Linked DNA regions of Nothobranchius furzeri. The protein of the gene in region 1 interacts with the protein of each later gene in a biochemical or structural test. Links are inferred from orthologs where the notes say so. Each region holds a gene or a part of one and is shown on either strand. Other genes may lie near its edges.

Region 1 (6,090 bases):
TAGACATGTTATTAAAACACTTTGGATTTAAACATATTGTCCATTCAACAAAATATGATTATGAAAACTTGTAAACTTATGTAGTCATTGGAGCCAGGGAAGATAAACTTCATTCAACTCTTGTCGTGATTGGCGCTATATAAATAAACTTGAATTGAATTCAAAGAGGATAGATAAGAAGTCCTGCATCCTCTGCAGCCATGAGGACTCGTGACGTACATAGACTTCATGTCGGCACCACGGTGTCAGATAGACCTGTATGAAGAAGTTTGGTCTGTAAGTTAAAAGTTCATTTCTGGTCATTTAGATGAAATATTTGGCCATTTGGTACGCTGCAAAGAGCAAACATGAAAACGGCTCACTTTACCTAAACATCAGATACCTTTTAAAAATCTTCTATACCTGTGTTTCTGACCTGACCCTAATCCCCACGTTGTGTTCCAGGTTCTGCCTCCAGTACCAAAGAGGGGAATGCCTCCAGCCTTCAGCCTGAGTGGATCTCTGCCTGAAACGACACCACATCCTAGTGAAACCCAGTTTGAGTCCAACAAAGCTCAGAGACTCAGAACCAACCCAACTCAAAAGATCAATGGGGATTTGTTTAGACCTTTAGAATTGGAATGTCCCGATCTGACCCAGGTGGAGACCAGGAGCCAGTCTCTGCCTTACCTGGGCACCAAAGTGGAGGAGGAGGAGGCATACTCCAACCAGTTAAGCAGCCTCTCCCTTCAAGCACCTTCTTCTCCAAAAAGGGTCACCTGTCAAACCTACTCCCTCCACGCCCCCGAAGGAGATCTGAGAAGTTTCATGTCAGAGCAGCAGATCAGAAACCAGGACCAGCTGAGGTCTAACCCTCTGTACGAGCCCTCCAGGGTACCTGGAGAAAGTGCAGCTCAGCGGCGGGGTGTCATGTACGCTGAGGTTTCTAAGGGTTCAGCACCAACTACGCAGACAGAAGACACCTATGAGCTGGTCCCTGGAGAGGCCACTGAAGTCCAAAGCAACACCTACGAGTCTCTGGAGGACATGAAGACTAAGAAACCCAAAAGCACCTGGGGCAAAAATGTAAGATGCAACGTCATGTGCTGGTTTTTATTACAGAGAGTAAATAAATAATCTGACGTTTTTTTTTAAATAATTTTGTCTCTACAGAACATAAAATGGAGGAACTTCTTAAAGAAATAAATATATCTTGTGGAGTTTCTCAAGTTCGGGGCTTCCTCCTGACGTCAGGAGACTTCATTCAGAATCTCTAAGAGATGAAAATAAAAACAGGCCTCCTGGAGTGAGATTCATACCTGCATGATCAATTATGGGGTGAAAAGAGGGGGATACTGACCACCACAAATTACAGCAGGCCCAGAAAATCCTCCCTGTTATCTTATAGCAGGGGTGGTCCCGATAGCCAGCATGATTTAGTTGTTTCCCTGCTTCAACACACCTGGTTGTAATCAGCAGGTGATTAACAGGCTTTTACGGAGCCTGAGGAGCTTCTGAACAGGTGATTCAACCACTGAATTATGTAGAGTATAGAGGAACAACGAAAACATGGATACCGCCCTTTGGAGACCAGGATTGAGAACCAATGTCTTAGAAGATTAAACTCTTGTGGATCAAATGACATTATCCTACATGTTCACATGTATAGGCTATGCTGGGCTACTATAGTGAGCTTAATATCTGTATTGTTTATTTTGGGACTGAAGGACATGGGACACTAGCCCCAGAAGCCCTTCAACCCCTCCATCCTAGAAGTGTTGAGATTTAGTTATGCAAAATGGTAAATGGCCTGTGGCGCCTTCTAGGATTCTAAAACCCCCCAAGGCACTTTACAACGAACCAGCCATTCACCCATGCACACACACATTCACATGCTGGTGATGGTGAGCTACAATGTAGCCACAGCTGCCCTGCTACAGCGAGATGTGCAGGTCACTTTAACTAACTGAAGAGATAAACACTCAGGTTAGCATCATTTTTATACTTTATTCATAGCCTAATTATACTGTTATTAATGAATGTATTGATGCCTAAAAATAAATAACTTTTAAGTTTGAAATCACTTTATTTATTTGACACTTGGTGAGCATACAGTATTCTACATTTAATGAAAAAATAATGTATTTATGAGTTTTAAGGCCTCCAAATTAATGTCTTCCTCAATATGCGCGTTCCCGTAACAATGCATGCAAATGTCTCGGCTGGCATTTTCGGTACACACACCTCCAGGTTGCGCTCCGTCCTGTGGCCGCTGGGGGGCAGAGTATCCGCTGCATTCCGCTGTCAGGATTCCAGCGAAGAAGAAACTATCTCCCATCTAATTCCCGTCGGACAGTAAAATCTCGTCTTTTCTGTTTTAACAAAATCATTTTTGGACCCGCTCTCCAGTGTTGGGACGATGGGCACCAGAGATGATGAATACGACTATTTATTCAAAGGTAAAGCGGTGTTTGTTGTTATTTGGCAGGCTAGGCGGTGGAGCTAACGGAACCGCCGTCAGCCTTTTGTGTTCGGGTCTCAACAAACTTCTCTGACGTGAGTCAGCGCGTTGAATCGGTTTTCCGAACTCCCGACGAACCATGTCTGACTCGTTCGGGTAGGAAATTGTTCATCCGGTGCTTGTTGTTCGTGCTAAAGCGCATCTTGGTTCGGGATAGCGGTTAGCTCGGGTTAGCCTGCCGACAGCCAGCGGGACACACCTAGACCTAACATGATCAGATCCTCCTGATGCGATCCGGACCGATCTGCCAGCAGCACCGTTAACGGGCCCGAGACGACGTTTAACAGCAAATTCAGAGCCCGAGGCAGAACCGGGCTGGTCCAGCTGAGGTGAAACTGGACGAAAAACTCTTAACTGCTTTATTGATCAGGTTATTAATATCAGATTATTGATCAGGTTGTTCATCTGTGGGTTATTTATATTCCACTCTCACGTGAGCTTCCGGTTTCGTATTCTCACATTTCTTCCACTAACCTCCTGTTTTCCCGAGAGTTTTAACTTCATTTATCAGTTTATAAAAACACCAAATCCTGAAAGGAGCAGAATCACCAAAGAGAACATAAAATAATCAAGTATCATTAAAATAACTCCTGAATAAGAAGTAAAACGGTTGTATTTGTCTTTTTCAACCCCCCCCCCAAGCGATTTATTTTAGTGCATCTTAGTTAAAATTGAAATATTCTGCTTAAAACTGTCAATGTTGTCAGGTAAAAACTCTGCACTGCATTCAAATTTAAATCTGCCATCGCTATTGGCTGAGAAGTACACTATGATGTCAGCTGGTACATTATGAGATCACAATGTTGTTGGCCTTGTTCGAGTTGAGCAGCGCCTCGCTTGGAAAACAGATGAAAGCAGACGGATGCAGCAGGGGGAGTGGCTGAAAGCCGGCGTTTAATGCCTGATTCATGCTCCTCCATCTGCGTCAGTGCTGAGACACGCAACGTCAGAGAGCTCCGCGAGGACGGACGGAGTCGAGCTCTCTTTTCTAAACATCCGTCAGTCGAGACGGAGAACGCAAGCTTGTGATTGGTCAGGACGCCGCTGTTGTCTACAGCGCCGCCATTGCGCCCTCAAAAACATAAAGAGAGCCGAGGATAACTAGTGGCAGACACGGAGCAGCTTGAAGAATACCTCGCGAAAAAACTCTAAAATATGAATGTTTAATTCCCCAGTGACAGGAGGAGTGAAAAGATGCGCAGCAAGCGTTTTATTAGTGGATGGAAATGACAGGAAACGTGGGTTTAGAGGTGGCGAGCGCATGAAGAGGTGGAGGAGAATGAGAGACAAATTTGTCTGTTAAAAAGTCTCTTATATACAAAAAAACATAATATAAACACACCATCTTGGACCGGATGCATGACAGGATACCACAGAACAGCCTACGTCCTCTGTTGTCCTGCTGGGGAATTGCTTTGCAACACTCTCCAGGAGACGGAGAAGTATGAGAGCAAAACGCTTCCGTCAATCCGTGCGTGTCTGTCCTTTGCGGAGCTGACGGAGAAGCATGAACCAGGCTTAAGATGATCAAATTTCCCTACATGTAGCTCGCAGGTGATGATGGATAAAGATATCACATTCATTCATACTTGTTTAATTTGTAATTAAAGTTCTGGTGCTTGTTAGCAACTGAAACACATCCTGACAATATCATGTAATGTTGACATGTGCATATGAAGTAATAATAAGTAAAGGTTAGCAGCTGTAGAGTTTTAGTGTGCTCATAGGAAATGTGACAATAAAAACACAAATCACATTTCTCTTTATGGCCTATATAGTTGTCATCTTAGATCAGGTGAGAGCGAGGCGTTTCCTGTCACGCCCTAGGTTTTGCAACCGGCGGAGAGCAACTGCAGCGCCTTGCTCCAAAATCTGCGGCCGCCTTGATCTCACGAGGTTATCGTTGCCTACGTAGGCATGACATCAGAGCAAGTCGGCGTCAAGTCAGACACAAATCTAACCAGCATGCACTGCGCGCCGATCACCGGTGATCGAATCTGCGCAGAACTGGATCATCTTGAACACGGCCAATGTGAGCCTGTGTGTGTGTGTGTTAGCGGCTCTGCCCTTTCGGTCTGCCAGGCAGCAGCATTTTTTAAACAGGAAATGGGAGTGGAGTGAGACTCTGGTAGGGGTGACTTGCTCTTTAACATGGCACCTGTCAGTGGACGGGGCCAAGGGGGTGGGACTCCTAACATCCTGATAAAACGATCCCGCTCCTATGTATTTTAGACCAGATTTTTATGGTTATATGTTACAAAGCAACAACTGGGAATTATTTCATTCATTTTCAACAACATTTTGATGGATATTTCCTGAAATTTATGGTAAAAACTTCAAATTGTCTCTTTAAAAAATATTGAGTAAAAAACGCCCAGAGACAAATAAAAAAATATAAATAAATTACGGGTGCACCAATTGCAGTTTTTGGCTGATCACTGTTCACCAATCTTGAAAAAAATAAAAACAGACTTGCTGATACTGATTTTTGTCTCAACTAAAAGCAGATTATGTCAATGTTTCAATTTCCTTTTATTGTGAAAACCAACATGAATACTCATGAAACAATACCATTTTCAACTGGACATGAGGTAATGCTCTCAAGTAGGGATGCAATGATACCACTTTTTTCCAAAACGATACGATGTCGATACTTGGATCTGAGTACTCCCCGATCCCGATTACCAATACCGATACTTCTACCAAACAAAAAAAATGCGATGATTTGGAATACAGATTTGATTTTCAACAGGAAAAGTTTGTGAAGTAGATAAAAAGTAAAATATATGAATGGAAATCATCACAAAACTAAAATATTAGGTGAACAGAAATGACAAGTTACAGGGAAGCCATTTTCAAGCAACTGCATTGGTATCAGTTCCTGGTATCGGCTAACTTTTACCAATACTGGTATCGGTATTGGTACCAGTATCGTATCGGTGCATCCCTACTTTCAAGCATAAATGAACGTCTTTAGCATTGCTGTTTGAACAACAAAATCATATTTGTTCCTTTAGACTTTCATTTTTCAAAATTTGAAAACAAAACTTTTGTACCCGTTTTCACACGCATGTTCAAAAATTATTCTATAGCAATGATTGGCTTGAAAAGAACCCGAGATTGGGGCCGATAGATTGGTGCACCCCTAAAATAAATGGCTATAATAGAAACTTTTGTACCAGAGCCAGAAAGGTCTAGAACCGCTCCCGGGTTCTGGATGCTTGATGTTGTTCTAAAGGTTCTTTAAGGATAGTGGGTCAGGGAGCACCAATAATCCTGCATCATAAATAAAATAGACATCCATTAGTTTCTCCTCATTCTTGTTACTTGGACTTTAAACTGTTTTTATCTTTATTTCTGCGGTTTTCTAGATTCAGGATGTCTGATGTGTTTCCTTTGTCCTGCTTTGCCTCAGTGGTCCTCATCGGTGATTCGGGTGTAGGAAAGAGTAACCTGCTGTCTCGCTTCACTCGTAACGAGTTCAACCTGGAGAGTAAGAGCACCATCGGGGTGGAGTTCGCCACGCGTAGCATCCAGGTGGACGGCAAGACGGTGAAGGCTCAGATTTGGGACACAGCTGGACAAGAACG
Region 2 (6,324 bases), on another chromosome or scaffold:
TTGATGCTGATCAAAGATGGACATGAGTTACCAATGGATCAGCATTGAGTTTGGATCATAAAGGCTAGTTCGCCATTAATTTTAAGTTTTGTTCCAGAGTATTTCTCTTATCTGATGGCACCATCTAGTGGCTGTCAAGCATATCACACAAGTTGTCTCTCGATCCATTTTTTTAAGATGGCGACTTCACGTTTCTTGTTTATTAACAGGCTTCTGTAGCCAATGAAGAATGAACAGAGCTAAAACAGGTTATTTTACAAGTATTATTGTCATGTCCTGCTGTGTTTTTATATATTTATATTTTACAGACTTACTTGTCCATGAAAAGTTCATCAACTCTGCATCAGCTGAGGTATTTCTTAAATTTGAAGCATGTAAATGGTAGTCTAACACTATTAGTTAGTTCTAGTTGGTGCTCAGTTTCCTATTACACAGAGCTCTGCGAGGCAGGGGGCATGCTTAGCAAAAAACAACATAAAATTATGTAATGCTTACATTATATCACAGCACTTGATAAGACTATCAATTTTACGTATTTCTGAAAAATCATAATTTCTGAAAGGGGAAAACTCCGGGGAAAAACTAGTTGAGTTGCTAAACTGATGCTAAATGTGGGCTTCTTCTAAGAACAGTTAAAATAGCTAAAAAATACAAGTACAATTATTATTTCAATATAATCTCATTCAAACAAATTTGAAGGTATTAAATTTGTAGTCCTACTGAACCTGGCTTGTCAAACAGTGTAGTTTATTTAAAAAACAGTCTTTTCATTAATCACATTCAAAGCACAGTGTGTAAAAACATTCTAATCTCTAGCAGCCCAGAGTAGATATAGCATCTAAAATAGCTCACAGGCATTAAAAATGCAACGTTTTATTGTGGTGATGCATGCATGGCTGCGGGGGAGAGGAGACACTGTAGCTCAGACAGCTACATCGGGGGTCACACACAGAAACCACCACACACCAGCTTTCAATAGTCTGCAAGTTATTTTACATTTTCTGCTGTTCTGATGATCTCTCTCTCTCAGGGAATCAAGAACCCCTTGTCCGTGTCTTGTGAATATATGTAAAACGGGTCTCTTCCGCCATTTTCAGCAGCTGTCTTCTTGCTCTGCGTCTTCTGGGTCACTTATCTCCCTCTCCTCTGCAGCCGTGCGTGCACCACCAGAGAAGTTAAAAACTTCCAGATTTCGTTCCAGCAATCTCACTTAGTTAGAGCAGGGCAAGCAACCAAAGAGCAAGAAGCAGAATGTCTCCAAACCAACAACACTGTCATGGAGAGATCCAGCACAATCTCCGCACAATGCTTAGAGAGTAAGAAGAATTTTTATGCCAAAGCACAAATGCGAAATGTCGAGCATTATATCTTGTATGTCCCTAAACAGCTACGGTACTCCAGGATGGAGCATGACTATGGAGTATTGATCACAATTTATGTAAATAAAAATGTAAAATTTCAATCTAATAGGAATATTTGAAATATATGTTGGTGAGAATTTTTTGTTAAAAAAGAGCATGTTTGTGAAAGGAATACACAGAATTTGATAGTAAACAAGTACAAATATCACACACGGTGCCTTTGAATATTATCTCCCTAAACCTCTTTAATATTTGGATGGATTCATTTAGGACAAAAGGACATCAATCAGAAGCAAACTATACCATATCAGTTTGAGATTGTGATTTACAGTTATTGTGGGTTTTGAATATTAAATTAAATTCCTTATAAACGTAAATGTCAGCATTGTTATTAGGAATAGTAATCACATAATCTTAGGTAAGTTTGTGCTTAAAAGTTTTACGATAATTTAAAAAAGGGAAATAATTTAAGTAAAAATCTCAAAAACAAGGTGAAATACGAATATACCTACATGATTTAATTTCCCATTACAAATAAAAGAACTCCTCGTCTCATTCTTCTCTGTTTCTATGAAAGACAAAGGCCTTAAGGCTAAAATTTCATCTTTTACAGTTGAGAGAACATTAAGGATCCCTGCCAGCAGGAAAACAAGGTCTTGAATGTCGCACCCTGTGTCAGCAGAGTAGAGAATCGGGGCAGTAATCGAACACCACACACTCACGGCCAAAGCACCAACATCCAAACCCAGAGAACATCCTGGATCTCACAGGAGACAGAGGGATAAACACAGGCAAGGACAAAAGGAGCTGGACTTTGCTATAAAGCAATAAAGGCACACTGAGCAAACAAAAGATAAAATGTCAGATAAGACTCAAACATAACCAAGTAAATGAGGTAATTGCAGAACTATGGCAGGTTCTAGCTGGGTGATTAGAGAGCCAACACAATCTCTAGCTCACTCTTTTTCCGAAGGTTGCTGTAAAAAAAAAAACTACTTAAGGGACATTTTCTCAGGGCAACACCAAGACTATTCCATCTATTTTAGGCTGGGTATATTTTTCTCTCACAGAAGAAGGTGTGTAGATCCCCATTTAGCGCTAAAAGCTTTGTTTTGATTGCTGTTTTACACCCTACGTCAAAACAACATATGTCACCCTGATGTGTGTCATGCTAATCTGGGTTTGAGTAATGCACTCCAAGCCACCTAACAAACCAGAGGAATGTGTGGGATTGTCAGCAGTTTCCAGAGTAGGCCTCCGTCATCGCGTCAGTGATAATGTTGGCTTCAAACCATATTCTGAAGGAAAAGTCTAAGATGAACGTTAGGGTTGGGGCAGTGAGGACAGAAAAAACAGATGACGTTTTTGTTTTATCTCCCAACCACAAACTAACAAGAGGAAGGAGGCTTGAGCCAAAACTTCTAACCTGTTTTTACTTTATTTAATTTAGGAAATTCATCTCAGAAATGAACATCTCAGGGGCTAAAACAACTCTAAATAAAATCTCGGCAGCTACCTTGATTTAGTCCCATTGATTTCAGTAAAAGTTAAGACTGATCTATGCTTGTTTCAACAAAGATTTTTAGCATTTGTCAGGTTTTTATCCAGTTTATCATCTTTTCATTGCAGGTATCATGTTTCATGTAATAATTTTCAGCACAGTAACTAATTAAACCCACTTCTGTATTAATATGTTATTATGGTAATGTGCTAGTTGTCTAAAAACTTAATGCAGCTGTTGGATTTTACAGTAAAACACACCAGGATCACATTTGGATAGAGTTATTTTAGGAGACCTCCTGCTTAAAGCTCAGTTTATGCGTGACCCCTCATTGGGGAGATAGATGTAAATGAAAAAAAGAGAGATAAAACAACCAGGAAGTTCATGTTTGTTTAGAAGTCCCACTGTTTTCCAATACTGTAAATACCCTAAATAATAACATCTATATGCTACTGAGCGTTGTCTGCTGACTAAAATCGCTAAGATAAAAGTATCTAGTTATTTGAACTGGATACATGTGAATTTTGACTCAAGAGTAACTTAGGAGACTTACTCTGTTTTGTTGCGGGACTTGTTGTCATAAAGGTCCAGCAGGTTGATGACAGCCTGGCCCAGGAATTTGTCCAGACCCACCTGAGCCCGGTGCATCACGATGATGTACAGCGTACAGCGGTCAGTGTTTTCCGGGTGGAAGAGCGGCAGGTCGAACGAAGCCTCTTCCTTCCACACCGGAGCCACACATTTCTCTGCCACCGAGGTGGAGAACTTATCCTTGGCCACCTGGATGATGGCATAGGCGTCGTTGGTGCCATTCTTGCCCTTGACCCGCAGGTTCCGAGCCTGACGCACCGTTACCCGGACACTCGTAGGGAACAACTGCTGGCTCTGACCGAGCAGAGACATCGTCAAAAGTCCGTGAACGTGAACCAAACAATGTTATCCCAGCCACTAATGTTTATCAACCCTTCCCTGAGGTAGGTTCGTCACCTTCGGTGTCCTGATAGGCTGCTGGCCTCTGGTTACTCAGCGTTCAGCTTCAGTTCAGGAAGCTAAATTTAACGTCGCAATAGTTCACCGTTCGGAGGCCCCTAATAACATCGGTTTGATAAAAAGTCTGTTAACAACCTTATCGCTAATATTAGCCTGAGTGAGACAAACAAAACATGACCAAACCGTCACAAGTTTAGCTTTCATAAACACAACTTCGTCTACTCCCCCACCAAGTTTCACAGTTCACTTCCCTGAGGTTACGGGGGTTCCCACCCATACTCTGTATTGACCTCGCTGATTGGTTGATGGTTTTGTCAGTTTCTCAAAGTCGAGCTGTGATTGGTCGCTTAATAGGAGGGCGTACGAAATTGCGCACCGTTAATTTGTTTTATTAAATACTTATCTGGAATCAGTATAAAGTCGTGAAAGTAACAAAGTACACACTAATAAGATATTTATATTTATAATTTCTTATTTCTTAGCTGGATATGTTCCAATTCCAACATGACGTTATGGAAAATTACAAAAGTGCGAAATGATCCAGAATAAAATTAAATCCCATCACATTTCTCAGAGTTTGGTTGGACTGGTTGTGTACTCTCAGTACACAGAAGACAGAAGACAGAATGATCCAATGTGTCAAGCAGTTTAACACAATAATTTTGAATGAAACCGGCCTTTTATCTATAAGGAATAAGAAATTCATCTAATCATGGTTTCTAAAAAAAGACCCAGATAAAATTAAACATTTTGGACAAACTGTATTAGTTATTCTGAATCATGGACAAAACAAGTCTGTCAGAGCCTAAAATAGGTTTCCATTAGAAAATGAGTCACAGTAACTTCCTGGTTGGGAATGGCAGTGAAACAGACTGAACATGTTTAAACACACAACATTACCAGATTGCAGTAAAGAACAATAGGGGAAAACTAAGACAGCGTGTTGTTGGTGTAAATGTTATTTCCTTTTTGAGTAATTTCCTAAATTGCTGGTGTATCAGACAGTTTAAAAGCAGAAGTACATCATTGGTCTATGCAAGTTACCACAGACAAAGTTTTCTGGTAAAACAACAGATGCGTGGCCTTTTTATCATTAATAATAATAATGCATTGAACTTATATAGTGCTTTTCAAGACCCCCAAAGACGCTTTCACACACTGCTAGTGATGGTAGGCTGCTTGTAGCCACAGCCGCCCTGGGGAGGTCTGACAGAGGCGAGGCTGCCATTTGGCGACGTCGGCCCCTCTGACCACCTCTAGCACAGGCAAGTTGGGTGAAGTTTCTTGCCCAAGGACACAACAGCAGGATACCCCTGGCGGGAGCTGGAATTGAACCCATGACCCTCCGATCATGAGGCAACCCGCTCTACCACCTGAGCTACTGCTGCCCCATAATAATTAATTTGTTGATATTTTTGGAGAAGTTTTAACACCACTGCCATGACACAAAAATTATTGGGATTCATTTGAAGCAATTTGTAATCCCTAAATTTTACTGAAGGTGTTCCTGTTGTCCATAGGAGACAGTCAGTTTTCTGGTGGTAGTCAAAGTGTCATGCCTCTTTCTTTTTCTCCCTTTGGCTTAATGGAGGTTGGATCAGAAAAAAGGGAAAGCTCTGAAAGTTCAAAAGTCTTAGCAATTTTAATTCACTCTGGGATTCTGTACAGCCACACTCGTGAGTTTTCTCTTATTACACACACACACACACACACACACACACACACACACACACACACACACACACACACACACACACACACACACACACGCACACACACACACACACACACACACACACACACACACACACACACACACACACACACACACACACACACACACACACAAAGGCACAGCAACATAAATGCACATATATTAGCATAGATAAACAATCACTTAGAGCAAACTCACAGATGAACGTTTGCCCTCAGATTAAATGCATATAGCTGTACTTGGTGAATGGATTACACTGTAATCCATTTTATGCTAGAGTTGATTTGCATAGGAGAAATTACAACTAAAACAGTAAAGCTTTCATTAAACAACCAAATGCAACAATGCATGCCAACTTCAAAAAATGTTTGGTACATTTTTTTTTGTAAAGCGATTAAAATAAAAGTGAATCTATGATTGAAAACAACAATATTGTTTCACAGCAAACAAACAACACTACAGAGGCAAAAGTACCAGTTTAGGGTCCTGGATGCCTCCATGGTATGATAATATCTTAAATTATATAATTATTAGGACACCATTAGAACACAACCAAGTCTTTTTCTTCAGGTAATGCATTGATGTTCTACTGTGCTTCACACTGTGGTTTCACTTTTCCACAAGCCGCTCTTCATCCCAACAGAGCACTGGGACTGGTCTGTGCTGCTCACGTCCTGCTCAAGCTCTAACACAGAGGTTTTCAGGGTGCCGTTTGGGGCAGCGGCCCCCGGCACAGCGGTGGTGACACTGTTCAAAGG

What was found.
Region 2: the proteins of rab11a (region 1) and rab11fip1a form a complex in vitro, tested with the Homo sapiens proteins (2 studies listed by BioGRID, with this or other methods). The link is inferred for Nothobranchius furzeri from reciprocal best matches to the Homo sapiens genes RAB11A and RAB11FIP1.

What each region holds. Positions count from the first base shown.
Region 1 is NC_091749.1:66,766,970-66,773,059, reverse strand, and holds the start of rab11a (ras-related protein Rab-11A), read left to right. Parts: upstream 1-2,273; 5' UTR 2,274-2,398; coding exon 2,399-2,438; intron 2,439-5,915; coding exon 5,916-6,090. Other genes in the region: SH2 domain-containing protein 7, read left to right, coding at 445-1,116. UniProt on the Homo sapiens protein: The small GTPases Rab are key regulators of intracellular membrane trafficking, from the formation of transport vesicles to their fusion with membranes.
Region 2 is NC_091757.1:39,987,807-39,994,130, reverse strand, and holds the start of rab11fip1a (rab11 family-interacting protein 1), read right to left. Parts: upstream 4,141-6,324; 5' UTR 3,766-4,140; coding exon 3,416-3,765; intron 1-3,415. Other genes in the region: adgra2 (adhesion G protein-coupled receptor A2), read right to left, coding at 6,163-6,324. UniProt on the Homo sapiens protein: A Rab11 effector protein involved in the endosomal recycling process. Also involved in controlling membrane trafficking along the phagocytic pathway and in phagocytosis. Interaction with RAB14 may function in the process of neurite formation.